Nothobranchius furzeri: one gene and its partner. The protein of the gene in region 1 purifies or fractionates together with the protein of each later gene. This does not show direct contact. Links are inferred from orthologs where the notes say so. Each region holds a gene or a part of one and is shown on either strand. Other genes may lie near its edges.

Region 1 (3,753 bases):
TTTTCCTTTTAGTTTCTCTCTACCTGCTGTTGAACCTCGCTGAGGACACCAGGACAGAGCTGAAGATGAGGAACAAAAACATTGTTGGACTGCTGGTCAAAGTTCTTGACCGTGATGATGAGGAGCTGCTGGTTCTGGTGGTTTCCTTCCTCAAAAAGCTGTCGATCTTCCTGGAGAATAAGAACGACATGGTGAGCAGGAGGGCTTAGTTGTTCTACACTAACTACTTTTGCCTGTTTTAACAAGAAGTCAGCAAGCTTTGTCATTAGTCCAGCTCTGATGTGACCGTGTGTGTGGCACGCAGGCTGAGCTGGACACCGTGGAGCGACTGGCTCGTCTGATTCCCTGTGAACACGATGATTTGTTGAATCTGACTCTACGTCTGCTGCTCAACCTCTCGTTTGACTCCGGACTTCGAGCCAAGATGGTGGAAGTCGGGCTGGTGCCCAAACTGACAGCGTTGTTGGGTAACGTTAAACACAGATTCTTCACAGCTTCCTGAGTAAATGACGGAAATGAGACAGAAGTCAAACCCACTGTCTGACAGGAACTACGTTGTAGACCTTATAAGTATTCACACCCCATCCCGTTCACTCAGATCTTCTTCTTCCATCCATCTTGCGGTTCCTTCTGCCCGTCTCGCTACCATGAGTTCCAGAGACGGGGAGCAGAGCTTTCAGCCGCTCTGCTCCCCGTCTCTGGAACTCACTTCCCCCAGACATCAGGAACATCGACAGTTTTACCCTTTTCCAATCAAAACTCAAAACACACATGTTTAAATCTGCCTACAACCTTGAACTGTTTCTCTCTTTGTTTTTTCTTGTTTGGGTTTTATTATTGTTTTATTGTATTTTATCATGTGTTTTCTGTAAAGTGACCTTGGGTGTCCTGAAAGGCGCTTTTAAATAAAATGTATTATTATTATTATTATTATTATCATTATTATTATTGTAGTAAGTGTATGAATATTCGAACACGTTTGTTACGATGCAGGTGATGAGAATAACCGACAGGTAGCCATGCGCCTCCTGTACCACATCAGCATGGACGACCGCTTCAGAGGCATGTTCGTTTACACCGACTGCATCCCTCAGGTACGCCACGATCCACTTCCATTCATAGTGACTGAGCGTTCCAGAGGATGAGCCAAATCTGTGTTTGTGTCTGGAACCAGCTCATGCAAATGCTCTACGACCACGGCGAGGAGGAAATTGATGTGGAACTCATCTCCATCTGCATCAACCTGTCTGCTAACAAGAAGAACGCACAGCTCATGTGTGAAGGTATTTGGTTTTTTGATGTTTCAGGGCTAAATCTGTATTTGAACTGAACAGCTTTTGCTTGGTGCCTTTCCGGTTTTAGGAAATGGACTGAAGATGCTCATGAAGCGAGCTCTGAAGACTAAAGACTGCCTTCTGATGAAGATGATCAGAAACATCTCACAGCATGATGGTCCAACCAAGCCGCTGTTTATAGTACGTTGTGAGACACACAGTAATTTGTCATTTTGACAAACTAAAGCATCACTCGTGCTTCACAGAAGGATTGTTTTGTCTGATGATCTGAGTAATCTTCACTAGGACTATGTGGGAGATCTGGCTGCAGAGATCCGTGCTGTAGAAGGGGAGGTGTGGATCCTGGAGTGTCTGGGAACGTTGGCCAACCTCACCATTCCTGACCTGGACTGGGAGCTGCTGCTGAAAGAATATAACCTGGTGCCTTTCCTCAAAGACAATCTCAAACCAGGTATCAGTTAAATCATTCAGAAGACAGAATTAGAAGAAATTACCCGTTGTCTCAGTTTGCCAGAAAGCCTCTCTGTTCATATTTCAGACTCGGCAGAGGATGACCTCATACTGGAGGTGGTCATAATGATTGGAACAGTTTCCATGGATGACGCCTGCGCTGTCATGTTGGCTAAATCTGGCATCATTCCTGCCCTTATTGAACTACTGAATGGTAAAAATAAAAAAGAAAACCAGATTAGGACATTTTCCCTGGATTATTATCAACTCTCACTCCACATGTCCTGTCCTTTATGCAGCGCGCCAAGAAGATGACGAGTTTGTGTGTCAGATCGTCTACGTCTTTTATCAGATGGTGTTTCACCAAGCCACACGGGACGTCATCATCAAAGACACGCGTATCCTTCCCAGGGGCGCTCTCTGCAGCAGTCGCCTCTCACTGGGTTTTAATGCGAGCTAAAGTTTTAGGTTGCTAGTTTTCTTTAAGTGTTTCCTCAGAGGCTCCCGCTTACCTGATAGACCTGATGCACGACAAGAACACCGAGATCAGAAAAGTGTGCGACAACACGCTCGACATAATCGCTGTAAGTGAACCTGCACATCGTATCCTCACCCTGTTCCACCTTTACTCGCAGATGTTTTATATATATATATGTATATATACAGGAGTACGACGAGGAGTGGGGGAGGAAAATCCAGTCGGAGAAATTTCGTTTCCACAACAACCAGTGGTTGGACATGGTCGAGAGTCGCCAAGTGGACGAGTCTGAGCCGTATCTGTACGATAACGACGAGAGGACTGATCTGTTCTACAGCGCAGGTAGAAACCAGATGAGCGCTGCAGCAGATTCTTCTATTTGTGCAAATTTCACACTAAAAGCATTTTTTTAGACCTTGTCTATTTCTGCCACTCAGACCAGATGTTAGCCTTGTGGCCTCCTGTGGCTCCAACATTCATGTCCACCTTTTGCATCCAGTGATGTAATCAGGTCAAACTTTAAGTTTGTGGTTTCTTCATGTTTCTGGGTCACCTGCCCACACAATCAGGCTTCTTATCTGATCTCACAAGGTATACAGAATAACCGGTTATGAGAATGTCACATAATTAGACAAACGCTACTAAATTCTCACAGAAAACGTCTCGCTACTTTTAAAACAATTGCCAAGCTTTTGGTGTCTGTGCTGATTTAGCAGCTGCTATCACGCTGCAGTGGTTGTACAGCTCATTCAAATTTCTAAATGCTTTTCTAGATGGAATAACCCCAGGAGATGGTTCAGTCAGCCCAGATTTCTTCGGTGATCTGCAGTCTCAGAATGGAGACTCACATCTCACAGGGTGAGTCGACCTCAGACAGAGCCAGATCAGAAAATGAACAAGATCACTAACCTTCTAGCTGAAGTGGAAGTTTTCTTATGTGTAGTAATATTAATATCAATGTCTTTGTGGATCAGAGATGTGGGCGACGTCTTCGACCAGACCAGCTCATCACCTGGACGACCAGTTACTGCTTACGGCTTCAGACCTGATGAGCAGCTGTTCTCTCAGTACTCATAAGAGCACACACACACTTTTGGTCCTGCTGATGTACCGCATCCCGTCTTTCCAGCTTCCTGCATGTCCAGTTCCATCACAGCTCCAGTTCTCCTTGCCTTTACTCGGACTGTGAGCAGACACCCTAAAATACATGTTTTGGATTGCAGTAAAAGGAAAGCTGCAGGCTACATCCACTTTCATATTCACTCAGCTTTTTCATTCATTCATTCCTCATTATCTGCAACAGATGAGTATTTGAGTCTGACTTTACCTGACTGTTGTGGCCAGTAATATTCTGAATATGAACAGAAAGTTTTGATTGTTTTTGTCGTCCTATTTTGCACATTTGTTCTCTTTTAATATTTATTGATACTTCAGATCATTCAGAACGAGAAAATAAAAAGAAACACTAAATTAGTGGTCTTAAGGGGAACTCCTATAATTATAAGAAAACTAAAACAAGTGTTGACATAG
Region 2 (3,677 bases), on another chromosome or scaffold:
AGCGACATTTCTGAGATTAGTAGCAGGCTATTTTATTATGTATGGCAGTCCTCACTCAGACTAGCCGTTAGCTTATCAGTCTGGTCGTGTAATCTCTGTTTAATCCTCAAAGAGTGTGTGTATGCGCATTTACAGTAAAAAGGTAACCAAATTTATAACCCGCCCAGTATATTTATTTTACGTCTTCTTTGGAATTGATTTGATTGTTTGTTTGTATCTCATTCATTTGAATGTTTAAGGACCAGACGGACCAGACGTTATTTTTGCAGGAGTTTAACGTAATGACTCAAAAAGTACCGCATATATATGTAGGCGACTATCTCAATATTATGAGATAGCTAAGTCATAATTTTGAGATTATATATATATATATATATATATATATATATATATATATATATATATATATATATATATATATGAGAGAGAGAGAGAGGGAGAGAGAGAGAGAGAGAGAGAGAGAGAGAGAGAGAGAGAGAGAGTTATCTGAGTGGCGGGAATGGGCTTCCATAAAAACGCGCACGTTTGGACATAAAATTATTACAACCAGATTACTCTTTTCATTTCCTCATCAACATAAAAACGTGTTTATTTTTAAACTTCTTTTATTTGTTTTACGCTCGCGTGGTAATTGTTTGGGGCTAATTTGTTGAAGCGGCGCACTCATTCGTCGCGCAGGTCACGTGTCTGGTCTCCATTGTCTGCAGAGCAGGGTGTGTTCCGCCGGGACTCAGAGCGGGCTGGGTCGGGCCGGGCTGGCTGCTTTTCCCCTCACATCAGCATCTTTAATTATCCTGTGACATCGCTCCATGATGCCCCGGAAAGGAGGAGACGCTTCGGCCTGAGCGCTTCTCCATGATGCTGATGCTGATGACGGTGAGGCGTGTCTGACTTCTTGTTTTGCCGCTGCTGATGAAACTGAGGCACCTGGAGAAGGAAGATAGAAATAAATCTGCGAGGATGTTTGTTGATTCTTGGTAAATAAAATGTCTTCAGCTAGAGCCTGCGAGGCGGTGCAGGTGGTGGTGCGCTGCCGGCCGTTCTCCAGGAGAGAGGAGGTGGCAGAGTGTGAGAACATTCTGGAGATACATGACAAACTGGGACAGATCACCATCCGAAACCCGAAGGCACCGCCTGATGAGCCAATGAAGGTCTTCACCTTTAACTCGGTGTACGGTTGGAACTCAAAGCAAAGTGACATCTATGATGATGCTGTGAGACCTCTTGTAGAGTCTGTGCTCCAAGGCTTCAACGGCACCATCTTTGCTTACGGACAAACCGGGACCGGTAAGACCTACACCATGCAGGGGGTGTCCAACGACCCGGAGAGGAGTGGAGTCATACCAAACTCATTTCAGCACATTTTCACTCAAATCTCCAGAAGTCAGAATCAGAAGTATCTGGTCAGGTCTTCGTACCTTGAGATCTACCAGGAGGAGATCAGGGATCTCCTGTGCAAAGACAACAACAAAAAGCTGGAGCTCAAAGAGAACCCTGAGTATGGCGTTTACGTGAAAGACTTGTCTTCGGTGCTGACGAAGAATGTCACAGAGATCGAGCACGTCATGAACATTGGGAACCAGTCCAGAACGGTGGGCTTCACCAACATGAACGAGCGCAGCTCAAGGTCTCACGCCATTTTTGTTGTAACCGTGGAGTGCAGCGAACTAGGCCCGGATGGTGAGGACCACATACGTGTTGGCAAACTGAACATGGTTGATCTGGCTGGAAGCGAACGCCAAAGCAAGACAGGCGCTAAAGGGAAGCGTCTGAAGGAAGCTGCCAAAATCAACCTGTCCCTCTCAGCGCTGGGGAACGTCATCTCAGCCCTGGTGGATGGGAAGAGCGCCCACATCCCTTACAGAGACTCCAAACTCACCCGCTTGCTCCAGGACTCTCTGGGCGGCAATGCAAAGACGGTCATGGTTGCAACAGTTGGACCCGCCCATAAGAACTTTGATGAATCCCTGGCAACGCTCAGGTACGCCAGCAGAGCCAAGAAAATAAAGAACAAACCACGGATCAACGAGGACCCTAAAGATGCCCTGCTAAGGGAGTTTCAAGCAGAGATTGCACGTTTGAAAGCTCAGCTGGAGGAGCAAGGGATGCTGGCAGAAGAGAGGAGGAGGAGGAGGAGGAACAGCAAAAGACTGAGTAATAGTATGGCTGGGACGGAGGAGGAAATCTTTACAGATAAGACTGTAGGGGAAGAAGATGAGAAGCACAGGCTGATTGAGGGCAACCCAAAGGCCTGCCAAGGGAGCAGCGAGAAACTAAAACATCTAAACGTTAACAGAAGATGTTTGGAGGAATTTCAATGGGACCAAGAAGCCGTGGAGAAGATCATAGAGAAGTATAAGGTACGGACCTGCAGTTAATACCGTTTTTATTCAGCATCTGGTGTGATAAATGACTGGGTAGTTGAACAAAGGACATTTACATAAATAATTTATCAGATCTCTTTGTTCACAGGCTATGGAGAGCAAACTGCTGGTGGGAGGAAAGACCATCATCGATCACACCAACGAACAGCAAAAGATGCTCGAGCTGAAGAGACAAGAAATAGCAGAACAAGTAATAAAATCAGCAATAATAAAGTGTTGGTGATGCTCCATGGTGAAACATTTGAATGTGCACAAGATCGTTGTGACTGCGGGATGTTGGCTTTGATTTGCAGATCAGACGAGAGAGGGAGATCCAGCAGCAGATGATGCTGCAGGACGAGGAGACTTTAGAAAGGAAGGAGACGTTCTCCTCCCTGCAGCAAGAGGTGGAGCACAAGACGAAGAAACTGAAGAGGGTGTGTCTACCAAGTCCGAGTGTCTTTGTTTACATTCAGATGTACATATATACTGTTCAGCACCTTGGACTTCTGCTAAGGTTGTGGAAGGTGCTGTACAAATAAAATTAGATTGTATTTATTGATTGATTAATCTGTTCTCTGTAGCTGTTTGCTAAACTGCAGGTGTTGAGAGGAGAGATGAATGACATCATCGATGAACACATCCTAACCAGACAAGAGCTGGAGGAGACACAGGATGAGCTCACCAAAGAGCTCAAGTACAAGTAGGTCCACACAAATAGGAGACTTTATTAATAACTCAAGTAAAAGTTAATAAACAATAAATGTGAGCTTTCATCACAGCCAGGAAGCTGCTGCAGCATAGTGAACAACAAAATCTAAATCAAACAAAATCGTTAAAGCCACACTGTGCAACTTTTTCATATTTTTAATAATTTTCTTGAGCCAGAATGGGCTAAAATGACCCTTTACATGGTGAGAGAGAGACACTCAGAACCCCACCACCCTCTGTGGTCACTGGTCAGAATACCACATTTGCAACTTCAGAGTGGTTGTCTGGTCCTTGTTGGACTTAGTAAAGTGGAGTGGACATGCCTGGCATTGGAGTCTGCTTCCAGCATGTTTTCTGCATGTTTTAGATGGTGAACACAGCTGATTTGTTTGATTTAGTGATGAACCGCTCTTGTAGAAACTAATGAAGGCTGAGGAGACATTTCAGATGTTAGATTAAGGTGTTAAAGAGACAATTTGTAGTTTTTTACCATTAATCTCTGGAAATTTTCAACTAAATGTTGAAAATGAAGAAGAAGAAGAAGAAGAAGAAGAGGAAGAAGAATATCGTTTATATAGCTCCTCAAGATAAAAATCACGAGGT

What was found. Proteins that work in one complex are often made in the same cells at the same time.
Region 2: the proteins of kinesin-associated protein 3 (region 1) and kif3cb purify together in Homo sapiens (co-immunoprecipitation; 3 studies listed by BioGRID and IntAct, counting the BioPlex papers as one, with this or other methods). This does not show direct contact. The link is inferred for Nothobranchius furzeri from reciprocal best matches to the Homo sapiens genes KIFAP3 and KIF3C.

The regions. Positions count from the first base shown.
Region 1 is NC_091751.1:58,732,108-58,735,860, forward strand, and holds the end of kinesin-associated protein 3, read left to right. Parts: intron 1-12; coding exon 13-191; intron 192-304; coding exon 305-467; intron 468-993; coding exon 994-1,094; intron 1,095-1,174; coding exon 1,175-1,283; intron 1,284-1,362; coding exon 1,363-1,475; intron 1,476-1,580; coding exon 1,581-1,746; intron 1,747-1,833; coding exon 1,834-1,959; intron 1,960-2,044; coding exon 2,045-2,143; intron 2,144-2,243; coding exon 2,244-2,329; intron 2,330-2,411; coding exon 2,412-2,565; intron 2,566-2,996; coding exon 2,997-3,081; intron 3,082-3,197; coding exon 3,198-3,300; 3' UTR 3,301-3,520; downstream 3,521-3,753. UniProt on the Homo sapiens protein: Involved in tethering the chromosomes to the spindle pole and in chromosome movement. Binds to the tail domain of the KIF3A/KIF3B heterodimer to form a heterotrimeric KIF3 complex and may regulate the membrane binding of this complex.
Region 2 is NC_091758.1:20,995,562-20,999,238, reverse strand, and holds the start of kif3cb (kinesin family member 3Cb), read left to right. Parts: upstream 1-799; 5' UTR 800-986; coding exon 987-2,360; intron 2,361-2,472; coding exon 2,473-2,574; intron 2,575-2,677; coding exon 2,678-2,800; intron 2,801-2,947; coding exon 2,948-3,066; intron 3,067-3,677.